Linked DNA regions of Callithrix jacchus. The protein of the gene in region 3 purifies or fractionates together with the protein of the main gene of each other region. This does not show direct contact. Links are inferred from orthologs where the notes say so. Each region holds a gene or a part of one and is shown on either strand. Other genes may lie near its edges.

Region 1 (4,047 bases), on a different chromosome or scaffold from region 3:
TCCCAGATGGGTGAAAGCGAGGACAGGCAGAGGAAGGAAGGCCAAGAGAAGGACATAGGAGGTCTCCAAGGAAACCGTGGCTCACACTGCAATTTTACCTACTTCCTGAAATCACGTTAAATGTCACTTTGAGTGGCAAAGAACAAAACACCAAGTCATACCTAGGCTGAAAATATACAAATATCACACTCCCTTACTTACAAGAAATCACCAAATAAATGCTACCTAATCTCTGGGTGTTTCAACACTGGATGGGAAAACCGTTCAAGGAGAATAAGAATTCACATTGCCATCCTGCTAAAAATATCACCTCCTTAGTGTGGTGCAGAGTCCGGACTGCAAGTCAGCAGACTTAGGGCCGAATTCTAACTCCGCCCGAACTTGCTGTGATCTGCGACCAATCCCTTCGCCTCTCTGGGCCTCAGTTTCCTCATACATAAAAACAGGGTGTAGATTAGCAAAGTCCCTTTCTGTATTGATATCGTGTGTACAACCCATAGCTCTCACGATCCAAAGCAGGAATACAGCAAAAACCCCTGAAAAACACGTAAAAGACGCCTCAGACCAACAAACAAGCACGACTTGAAGAAGTCATTTTGTTATCTTTCACAGTTCAATCAGTGTTTTTGTTTGTTGTTTGGTGCCTTACCATGATTTGCAGAAGATGTCTGAGTTCCATGTAAACAGAAGGTGACTCTCTGCGGGTGTCATCTTCTTCGGAGGGTGAGAAGGGTCTTCCCGCCTGGTTTCAAGTCTCAGGATTCCGAAACCACCAACTCAGCTGGCGGGTTTATGAATTTGCGCACACTGCGCGGCACACTGGAGCCTTAAGTTACAGAGGAACTGAGTGCAGGGGATGTTGGGATTTGTAGTCCCCAGGCCTCTTTGTAGTGCGCTGGGATCTGTGGTCCCTGAGTGCACCGCTGGCATGCTGGGAAATGTAGTCTGTCGCATCTCACAGTGCAACTAGCTGCCGTCTCACAGTGCAACTAGCTGCCGGTTAGTGTGCTCAGCGGCTAGAGCAGGTCCCTAAAGCCTCTGCATATCCGAAGGCAACCCTCCGCTGGGACAAACTCTAGGCAACAACACCAGATGAATATTATGTCCTTTGGGACTTCCCGGGGTGGGCCCTTCCCATTGACGTTCACAGTCCCCCTGCGAAGCCGCTGCGCGCTCCTATTGGCTGATTGGGTTGCCAATTGCCAAGGCGGGCTTTCCATTGGTTCCAGGAGGGCACTCGAGGCTTGGGGGAAGGAGAAGGGATCAGGAGCGGGAGCTGAGGGGAGAAAGAGGCCGGTCCGGGTTTGGCCGCTGCTGCTGCTCTCCCGAGGTCTCCAGGCCGGACTGCGGCTCCATCCTCGGCTCCTGGGCACCGTCTACGAGGCTCCGCCAACCAGAGTGAGAAAGCCGCGGGCGGCGACTGCCGCATCATGTCAACCAAGGACGAGCGAGCCAGGGAGATCCTGAGGGGCTTCAAACTGTATCCGCCCGGGAGCTGGGCGGGGCCGGGAGGACTTGGGAGATTGCCGCTCCCTGAGGAGACTGGCAGGGGGCGGGGGCCGCGCCAGGTGGGCCCCACCGAAGAAGGGCCGCGGGAGGGGAAAGGAAAGGAACAGCTTGCCCGGCCCCGGGAGGGACCGGGCGCGAGAGGCGGCCCCAGGGGCGTCCGGAGGAAGGACTGGGACGTTGACGGGAGCCCCGGGAGGTGGCGGGTGGGGACGGTGGAGCCTGGGGGACGGGGCTGCTAGAGGCGCCGGGCTTCGGAAACGCTGTCAGAGAGGCCGGCTGGATTCCGATCCCCGGCCGGGACCCAGAGGCCGGGAGGGAGCTGCGGCCCGCAGGGAAGGGCTGAGGGGGCGCGGTGGGCTGATCTCTCAAACTAGAAGCCCTCTGGCGGGAAGCCCACCTGGGGAGCGCGGAACGGTGACTTGGAGCGGGCGACCTTGTGTGGGACAATTACCAGTGCTTTTTAAAACTCTCTTAGGTCCCCCACCGCACCGCACCCCACCCCCGTCTGGTTTCCACAACTTCTTTTCCAAACCTGTGGCTTCTTCCAGGGCTGGAGTAGTTGGGGGATGTGGGGAAACAGAAATCCAAGATCGACCTTGTCTTAACACTCTTGGCCTTCTGAGGCATTGGTTACTGCCTCCCCCTCAGCGCCTCGGTTTTCTTTCCAGCTAGATGGGGACCGTAGGCTTGGGTGCGGGGTGCCGCGCTGGGACTCCTAGCCGAGGTGTCTTTGCTGGCTCCTGTCGTTGTGGTTAACGCCTGGCGGTGGTGGAGCTGTCCAGCAAAGGTGTGATGTGGCTGGGGCCACGGTAGACTAGAGTTGGGTAGAAAAATCATTGCCTCGGGCCTATTGTGGTGCCACTTTTGCAACCTCTCCTCGATGTGGCAAGGAAGCTTTGTGTTTTCGTCGAGTGTGTTAGGCTGTCACCATATGATGCTGATGAAAAAAATGCAAACTTGTATCTTCACATTTTCCATTCTCCTGCCGACTTTAATCTCTTCATACATCTTGTCTGTAATCTATAGTGCGGAACGAACTTAAATTCCCCCCGCGGTGAAAAGGTAGTCATCACTTTTGGGCTCCTCCCTTGGAGGTTTAGTGCACTGTTCTCTTGGTCTGCTGTTGTGTTTTCACATTGTCCATGTCATCCTTACAAATTTTAATTGCTTTGCTATGATCAGAAACCAAGTTGGTAATACATTTTAGATCACAGTGCAAAAAGTACAAGTGAGATTTTTCAAATGGAAATTGATCTTTGCTTTTTAAAAAAATAAAGGCTGTATCCCCTTTGCATACTACCGTTTGTGATAAACTTTAAGTTACTTTTATGTAGTGGTTTAGTGGCAGCCTCTTTTACCTCCATATGCCTTTCTGTGTTTCTCTCCATAATGGATCATATAGGTATATAGGGATGACTAAAGTGCTAGAAAAGCTATGACATGGATTTTATTTTCCCTGAATTATGTTATTACTTAACAAGTAACAATGTAATAATATTGTTACTTAACATGCAGTGTAGGCAGTAAACCAGAGACTATGGAGAATTGAGAGGTTGAGAGGTTTCAGAAGCAGCGTTTTCATCTGATTGGAAAAACCATATTGCTGAAAAGAAGAAAGGTCTTTTTAATGGCTTTTGAACAAGCAAAGAAGTTTGAGCTTCTCGCTTTCAGTCTTGGCTCTTGAACCTGTTGAGAAAGAGGGTAAGAGACAAATACAGGAAAGAGTAGAAAGCAGAATCTGTGTCAGCCCACTAGAAGGAAAAGTGAATCAACGGATTCAGTGATGTCAGTGCACCCAGAAACAGGCTTTCAGGGAGAGCTTGACCTGAGCTAATTAAATCCTAAAGCACAAGGGAAGCAGCCACATCAAAAAGTTAGCATGAGAGCAGTGGCGTGCTCATCCTCTGGTAGTCTTTATTGGGCATCTGGGGAGTAAGAGAGAAAAGAAAAGCAGGAACGTTAGGATATGCTGCTACCTTCAGGAAAAAGTAAAATTAATGTTGGCCAGGTGCAGTGACTCACATCTCTCATCCCAGCACTTTGGGAGGCTGAGGTGGGCAGATCACCTTAGGTCGGGTGTTCGAGACCATCCTGACCAACATGGAGAAATGCTGTTTCTACAAAAAATGCAAAACTAGCTGGGTGTGGTGGTGTATGCCTGCAATCCCAGCTACTCAGGAGGCTGAGGCAGGAGATCGCTTGCACCCAGGAGGCAGAGGTTGCTTTGAGCCAAGATTGAGCCATTACACTCCGGTCTGGGCAACAAGAGTGAAACTCCATCTCAAAAAAAAAAAAGATAAAATGTTTTAGTAAGGAACTATCTGACTGTTGTCCACTTTTTATTGGGTAAATAGATTTTCTGAACTTTCAGAGTATCTGTTTCTGAAAGAATAGTTTATCACTACAAAAAGAGCACCATTATGTTCTCCCACCAACAATATTGATAGTACTTAGTTGACCTGTTGACTAGGTCAGTCTTTTTTATTTGCCAGTTTGCACAACAAATGAGATCTTGTTTTAATTGGTATTCTCCTGGAT
Region 2 (4,019 bases), on a different chromosome or scaffold from region 3:
ATTTAACAGATTTATCAGTCTTTGAGTTCTTTAATTAGAATCACTTATAAGGTATATTTAGTACTGAAGAGCAGAATGAGTTTTTTTTTTTAAATCATGATAAAATTTTGTATTATGGTGGTCAGGCAGCTGAATTATAGTCATTTAATTGGCCATTTTATAAGAAATGGTTTAAGACTACATTGTCAAATAATTTTTTAACTGTCTGACATATTGGAAACAACATCGACCAATAACTAACCTATTAAACTTGTTCATCCTCTAGCAAATGGGGAGGGCAGATCATGTGGCAAAAGAAGGCACAATTGTAAAATTCTCCTTGTAATATGAGGATATTCCTATGGGAAATACTACTGCTGCTTAAAAGATTTTTTGAAACCTACACTCATGGTTGAAAGCCCTGTGTTGTATTACTTTATTATAATAAATATGTAAGACGACAGGAGATAGATGTATAACCTATAGATATTTTGTATATTCTTCACTTGAACAAAACACATTTATTATAAAAGTTAACTTTAAATTCTATAGCCCAATTATGTTTGGTTAGCTTATGTTAAAATCATCTATATATTCCAACAGAGAAAAAGCGCCCAGTAAATCAGACTTTGTAGATCAAATAAAAGTCTGCCCTGCCCCATGGTGCAATGGGCAGTTTAATTTAGCAGCAAGGTTTTATGTACAGGGACCTGCAACAGTTACTCTTTAGCATCAGTTGTACAATGTTGGCATTGTCATTATGCTCTCTGCTCCCCTTCTACAGCACTGAACCATTTGTATTGCTCTCTAAACATATATCGCACAGAATTTAGTTTTTCTCCCTTTTTCATTGTTTAATAAAGTTTGGTTATAGCATCATGCTTAGCCAGTAGGTGTCACTTGTAGCCTGATTTATCCTCAAGATTCCTTTAAATGTAAGCTTTGGATTAAATTATTCACAACCAATTATTGGATTAAGTTGTATACAACCAATTCCCAACTTTAGAAAGCTACATATTTAAAAATCAAGTTTGTCTTGATCACTTAAAATGAGGAATAGATGTATAATTCTACACAGTGTATGTGAAGTGTGTAGGCAGCAACATTGGCTCCTAGAGCTCCGCATGTTAACATATATAGATAGGATACCAATTATAACATCCTATGACCTAGAAACAACCTTATCTGATGCATGCCGGGGATCATCTTCTTAAGGCATGATGGGAGGGAACTCACCCTAGAGCATTGAAAGTATTGTCAACATGGCAGCTGAGGTGCTTTCTTTGCTGGGAAAAGCTGGGAAGAGACTGGCAGAATGGCGACTTCAGGAGTTAATACGTCTCCAGGTGATGAAGTAAACAGGTTCAGTTTATCTTGTGAGAGACGCACCCAAAGATCAGTCATAACTGTGAGACGGTTTCAAACTAGCCAGGCACAGGTGTTTTGTGTTGGTATACGGCATCTATATAGTCATCTTAGGTTTTGTTTTGCTTTTCTCAGTTTTAAAATGTATTATAATTACTGTATATTTGAGCTTAGGGTTTGATTGTGCAAGTCATTTCCTATTGAGTAGACTGCTTGTTATTTGGAGTATAACAATTTGAATCAGATGAGACAAGTGCTGTACTAATACATATATTTCACATGATTATTTTGTCTTGCCGACTGATGAAACGACTCTTAATGCCTTTATTTTCTCAAGGTATTGGCATTCTCTAAGTTTTAATGTTAAAGTATAAAGTTAATTGTAATGCCTCCTGTAAAGTTTGATTTCATTTGCAAAGTGAAACCATTCTTACTCAGTCTAGCAGTTGAACTTTTTCTTGTATGTTTTACAATCATTTAGAAGTTTTTAATAGTGTGTGAAAGAAAATAAGATTTTAAGGAAGCACTCCACCCCTTTATAAAAGTCTTTGTGATGCAACATCTATTTAGAAATAGGATCTTTTAAAGTACAGCAGGTATTCTTATCTGTTTAATCTCTTGGAACTTTTATAATTGTTTTCTGATTTAATGTTTACTAGTCTGTAACTAATCTTTTTCAGAAGGCACATTGTCTCTTTATTTTTTATTTAATTGCTCCTAATGTGTAATTTGAAAATGAGACTTTTAAAAATTAGCGCTTATATAGTTAACTGTTTATTTTCAAATTGACTTAAAAACTTTTTGTAAGATCTTATGTCAAGGACAAAGTTAATTTGTCACTACTGTGTGTTTCAACTTAGCAGATGCATGGATCCTTGCTTGGTTTAGTTCATTTTCTAAAACTTTTGAAAAAATGTCTTGGCATTAACCAACCGCAGTTCAGTAGTTTTTCTCTTTTATTCTCAAATTGGTGTTATGTCACATGCTTCTGGGAAAGATGATTTCTTCTTTTAAATTCAGACTTTAATTAATATGTAATGTTTACATTGTGTACTAGAGCTTAATGTATCACTAACACTTTTTGTGTTTAACCTATCTCAGAGTGTTTGAAGTAACTGGAATGAAATACTTAACATTAAACCTCACCTCAGAACAAAAAAATAAAATAAAATTGAATCTGATGTTTCACTAAAACTTCTAGTACTTACTGGACATCTAAAGAGCCCCCCTCTTCCCACACATAATGTCTTAGGATATAGGACAGATCAGTGCTCAAAATTGTTGCCAGTATTTTTTCATACCCAAAGTTTGTCACTCTCACTTATTTAGATTATACCAGTGTGACCAGGATCACAGACAATTGAGCTAAGAACATGGACTTTAAAATCAAATCGACCTGGGTTCAGATCTCTACTCAGCTGTGCTATCTTGGGCAACTTAATCTCTCTGAGTCTGTTATATCCTTAAAATGAAGATATTACCCCAAAGGAGTCTTCTGAAGGATTAAATGAGATAATATATCCAAAGGACTTAGCACAGTGCCTAGCCTGTAGTAAATGCTCAATACCTGGTTATTACTAAGATTCCCATATGGAATGGTAAAGTTCAGCAGGAGCAATTAACTATCCAATGACTGAAGATAATACCCTGCCTTTTTCTGGCTGACATACAAATACGTTACTTGATCAAGGAAGCACCACTCAAAGTTCATGTCCTCCTAATGGTGGGATAGCAGTAACACTCTTCATACTTGGAAGGACCACATGCCTTTGAAAGTATCAGTGAAAATGCACATAGTGTAAATTGTGTAACCTTCATGCTTTTATACCACGCATCTTTTCTCTCTGTGCAACAGGCAGTTTATCCAGTTTTATGTTTTCTATTAAGCAACTAACAACATGTTCAAGTTTATTTTAATTACCAGGAATTTTAAGAGTATAGTATTTCCTAGGATGTTGGCATGGACAAGTGATTGCTTTTTAAGATGATTAAAGTTAGCTACCTTAACGTTATTGTACTTGCATATATTTTTACCTTATAGAATTAGAATTCAGTGTACATTCTTAATTCATTAAACAATTTTACTGACGCTAATAAACAAAGGCTCTGTTCCAGTCACAGATTCAGCAGCAAATGAGACAAACTCTCTGCCTCGTGAAGCTGATATTCTAATAGGGACATAGACAGTAAACATGAAAAATAAAACACATGGTATATTAGTGAAAATACTAAGAAAATAATAATGCAAGTAAGGGATAGAAAGTGTGGGAAAACAATTTTAAAAGAAGGTGGCTGGAGAAATGCCTCACTGAGAAGGTGTTCTTTGAGTAAGAAAAAGAAAAGGAGGCAAGAGAATAAGCTATGTAGGTGTCTTGGAAGAGCATTCTAGACAGAGAGAACATCAAGTACAGAGGTCATGAGGCAGGAACAAAAGGGACTACAGAAGAATGTTCCAGCGAAAGCATACTAGGAGGTAAAGTCAGACCCTTTAGGGGTAGGGGAAAGATTATCTAGTCTTGTACGTTACAGTAAGGACTTTAGCTTATATTCTGGGTGAGTCATATGGGGATTCTTTGAAAGATTTTGAGCAGAGGAATGGTATGATCTAACTTACATTTTGAGAATAGTACTCTGGCTTCTGAGTTTAGAATTTATAGTAGAGGTACAAAGTGGAA
Region 3 (3,511 bases):
TGTCACCAAGTGGCATGCCACTGGTGGCTCCAGTTAGTCCAGTTGGAAAGGGAAAATGTGGAAAAGAATTCTGGCTCCAAGCCCAAGCCACATTTTTAAATACAGCTTTACCAGGAAGAAAGCAGAATTCTGAACTATGCTGATCATGTGCCTATTTTTCAACTGGTTCAGCACTCAGAGGAGTATGAGCATAATACTAACTCCTAACTTTCGATTCCAACAAAAAAAAGGGATTACAACCCCAAAAAGAAGCCAAGTCTCTGGGGTCAGGACTAGAAAGGCCTATTGATGTGGACACCCACCTTATACATGAAGGGTGAGAACCAGGCTGGCATGAAGACGAGGTTGCATAGGCGTGTGGTTGAGCAGTGCTGATCGATGCTGGCTAGCAGGGCCACTTCACCCAACTTCCCATGCCCCACAATCTCCACGGGCACCTTCAGGACGATTTCACCTTGCTCTTCGTACACACCTGGGAAGAGCACGATTCGGTCATACAGGCTGGCCATGGCCAAGGCACTGCCCAGGCTGTCAAACTCGTGGCCTGGCCCAACACTCAGGGTACGTCGTTCCTTCCTCCGGCGGAAAAGAGAAAAGCAGACGGAAGACTCCAAGTCCAAGGCATTCTTGGTCCATGTCTTAGAGGCAAGGTAATGCTGCTTGAAGGCTTCTCTCCAAGACTCAGGCTCCACATCTGGCTGGTTGGGCCAGTTGGGATGGCGGCACTTGGTGCAACCCAGACACAGCTGCCGCCAGCGGGTACTGTCAAGACTGAGGATCAGTTCATACCAGGCCCTGCATACCAGGCTGCAGCGGCCCAGGTCAGGAAGGTGCAGGTAGGCTAAGATCATGCGCCATAGCTCCAAGGGGAGGCCACCAGTCTCCATGGTCACCTAGGAGACAGACACAAAACAAAAAAGGTTTCCATCTCTCCTCCTTACCAGTCCCTTTCTTAAAATACCTCATTGCCATTTTCTGAGCAAGTAAACAAGGTCCAGTCAGTCAGAGGACTCTATCCTTTCAAACTGAATCCTACCCTAGAGTTTTCCACCAGGAATTAGCTGGAAAGACTCTCTTTTCTCTATGGTCAGATGCTATAAGGATATGACTCCAGAACTTCCAGGTTCCCCACCTTGTAGAGAAAACCTTGTGATATCAGAGCCAAACAGAAAGATGACATTTCAAAAAGAGGAAGAAAAAAAGGTGAACACATGTGTGTGTGTCCTAGTAGTACTGATTCCAGATTCTTAAAGATGCCTTGGAATCTACAGTGCTTCTTTCAATTTTGTAGGATATCCCAATGGCCTTCTACTAAATCCCCCTTTTGCTGGTTTGATTTGGGTTTCTGTGACTTGCAACTAGACAAGCCTGTACTCCTAAGAGGGAACCCACCTTTGGCTGTTAGAGTCCTAGAGCTCTGGATCCCCTATACTCTCAAGGAAGAGACTTCTATCTCCTGACACTGACAGGAATGAGAACTGAGGCAGTGACTGTCCGTCTGTCTGTCTCTGCTCGTTCCCAGATCAAGTAATTACTGTTTCCCCAAGTGGGACAGCCCCAGGAAGGAACTACTACTGAGTCAGATGCTGTGGGTTTTGATCCGGCTCTGCCATTGGTTATCCTGAGCAGTTATTCGTTATTCTGAACACCCATGGGCTGGCTGCCCAGCTATCTACCTACTTGCTTTTTCTGGAAAACTCTTCTTCTCCTCTACCAGTGATTTATATCACATGATTACAGAGGTAGGGTTCCCTGCAGATGTATGTGTAGAACAAAGGATCCCTAACCCCTTGACTGCAACTGATTGGACTCTGGATGGTTCTAATGGGGCCATCAAGACCTTTTCTAGGAGAACAGGAGTTGCAATTCTAGAATCAGGTTGGCCTCATTCCTGAATGGTGGGGAATGAGTGGCCTTTTTCCTTAGGAATAGCCTCTGGTTATCATTTTCCCCAGGCTGGGGCACAGGAGGAGGCAAGACAGAAGAAGCTGATCTACAATGAGAGAAGAATGAAAAAAGCAGAGAAAAGGGCAGAAGCAAGGGGCATCCAGTTTCTCTATAGCACTGCAGGTCATGGCTCTAGCCTACTCTCAAAGCTCAGCTTTATCTTTGCCCTTTGAATGTATCAGATATCCCTGATAATGTAAGCCAGCTTCATTTATTTGTTTTTTAAACCTAGTTCAAGCCCTCTCATTGATGAGTGTCATTTTTCCCACCTAAAAAGCAAGGGAGCCAAATAGATGACTTAGAGCAACTTCCAAGTCTGAAACCCTATAGTCTCTAGACAACTAGAAAGTAGGACCAAGGCTGGACACAGTGGCTTACACCTGTAATCCCAGCACTTTGGGAGGCCAAGGTGGGTGGGGAGGATCACCTGAGGCCAGGGGTTCAAGACCAGCCTGGTCAACATGGTGAAACATCATTTCTACTAAAAAATACAAAAATTAGGCTTAGCGCAGTGGCTCATGCCTATAATCCCAGCACTTTGGGAGGCTGAGTAGGGGGTGACTAGAGGTCAGGAGTTGGAGACAACCTGACCAATATGGTGAAACCCTATCTCTACTAAAAAATAATTAGCTGAGCATGGTGGTGTGCACCTGTAGTTCCAGCAACTCAGGAGGCCAAGACAGGAGAACTGCTTGAACCCGCCTGGGAGGTGGAGGTTGCAGAGAGTCGAGGTCACACCACTACACTCCAGCCTAGGTGACAAGAGTGGGACTCTTTCAAAACCAAACCAAACCAAAATTAGCTAGGCCTGGTGGTGGATACTTGTAATCCCAGCTACTTGGGAGGCTGAGGCAGGAGAATCATCTGAACCCGGGACGTGGAGGTTGCAGTAAGCTAAGATTGCTTTACTATACTCCAGTCTGAGTGACAGAGTGTGACTCCAACTCAATCATTATCAATCATTGCGACTCCATCTCAATCAATCAATAAAGTAGGACTAGAAACAACTGACCTTCATCAAATTGTTAACCTCTCCAGAGCCTTGGGTATTCTTGCAATTTTATGAAAATGCTAATCATACTTGTTAGTTATCTAAGCCCCAAGAAGGCTAGGAGCACAAATGTGTGATTCAGTATGAAAGAAATGCTGAGCTTCGTCAAGACTGGTGTGGCTTTAATTCTACAGATTTGTACTGGAACCCAGATATGTAGGTTCGTCTCTAGTGATCACCAGAGAGACTTTACTAAGTCCTCAGCAACAGCAGAGAAAAGCTGGGCTCTGGATTAAGTATTACAGAGAAAAGGCTGGGCTCCTGATATCTGCCACTTCCCCAGATGGATGCCAGTTCATTTATGGCAGCTTCTATAACACTGATGCTTCCTGTTCTTCATTTATTTCTTTAGCTATACTTTCTCAGGTTTGTTTTTCCCTGAGACAGAGTCTCATTCTGTTGTCCAAGCTGGAGTACAGTGGTGCAATCTTAGCTCACTGCAACCTCTGCCTCGCAGGTTCAAGTAATTCTCCTGCCTCAGCCTCCTGAATAGCTGAGATTACAGGTGTGTGC

Evidence for each region. Proteins that work in one complex are often made in the same cells at the same time.
Region 1: the proteins of FBXO10 (region 3) and PDE6D purify together in Homo sapiens (affinity purification with mass spectrometry; 3 studies listed by BioGRID and IntAct, with this or other methods). This does not show direct contact. The link is inferred for Callithrix jacchus from reciprocal best matches to the Homo sapiens genes FBXO10 and PDE6D.
Region 2: the proteins of FBXO10 (region 3) and ACSL4 purify together in Homo sapiens (affinity purification with western blotting; 3 studies listed by BioGRID, with this or other methods). This does not show direct contact. The link is inferred for Callithrix jacchus from reciprocal best matches to the Homo sapiens genes FBXO10 and ACSL4.

What each region holds. Positions count from the first base shown.
Region 1 is NC_133507.1:153,232,629-153,236,675, reverse strand, and holds the start of PDE6D (retinal rod rhodopsin-sensitive cGMP 3',5'-cyclic phosphodiesterase subunit delta), read left to right. Parts: upstream 1-1,246; 5' UTR 1,247-1,430; coding exon 1,431-1,480; intron 1,481-4,047. UniProt on the Homo sapiens protein: Promotes the release of prenylated target proteins from cellular membranes. Modulates the activity of prenylated or palmitoylated Ras family members by regulating their subcellular location.
Region 2 is NC_133524.1:106,114,343-106,118,361, reverse strand, and holds the start of ACSL4 (long-chain-fatty-acid--CoA ligase 4), read left to right. Parts: upstream 1-1,218; 5' UTR 1,219-1,241; coding exon 1,242-1,325; intron 1,326-4,019. UniProt on the Homo sapiens protein: Catalyzes the conversion of long-chain fatty acids to their active form acyl-CoA for both synthesis of cellular lipids, and degradation via beta-oxidation. Preferentially activates arachidonate and eicosapentaenoate as substrates.
Region 3 is NC_133502.1:144,508,106-144,511,616, forward strand, and holds part of FBXO10 (F-box only protein 10), read right to left. Parts: intron 894-3,511; 5' UTR 888-893; coding exon 303-887; intron 1-302. UniProt on the Homo sapiens protein: Substrate-recognition component of the SCF (SKP1-CUL1-F-box protein)-type E3 ubiquitin ligase complex. Mediates the ubiquitination and degradation of BCL2, an antiapoptotic protein, thereby playing a role in apoptosis by controlling the stability of BCL2.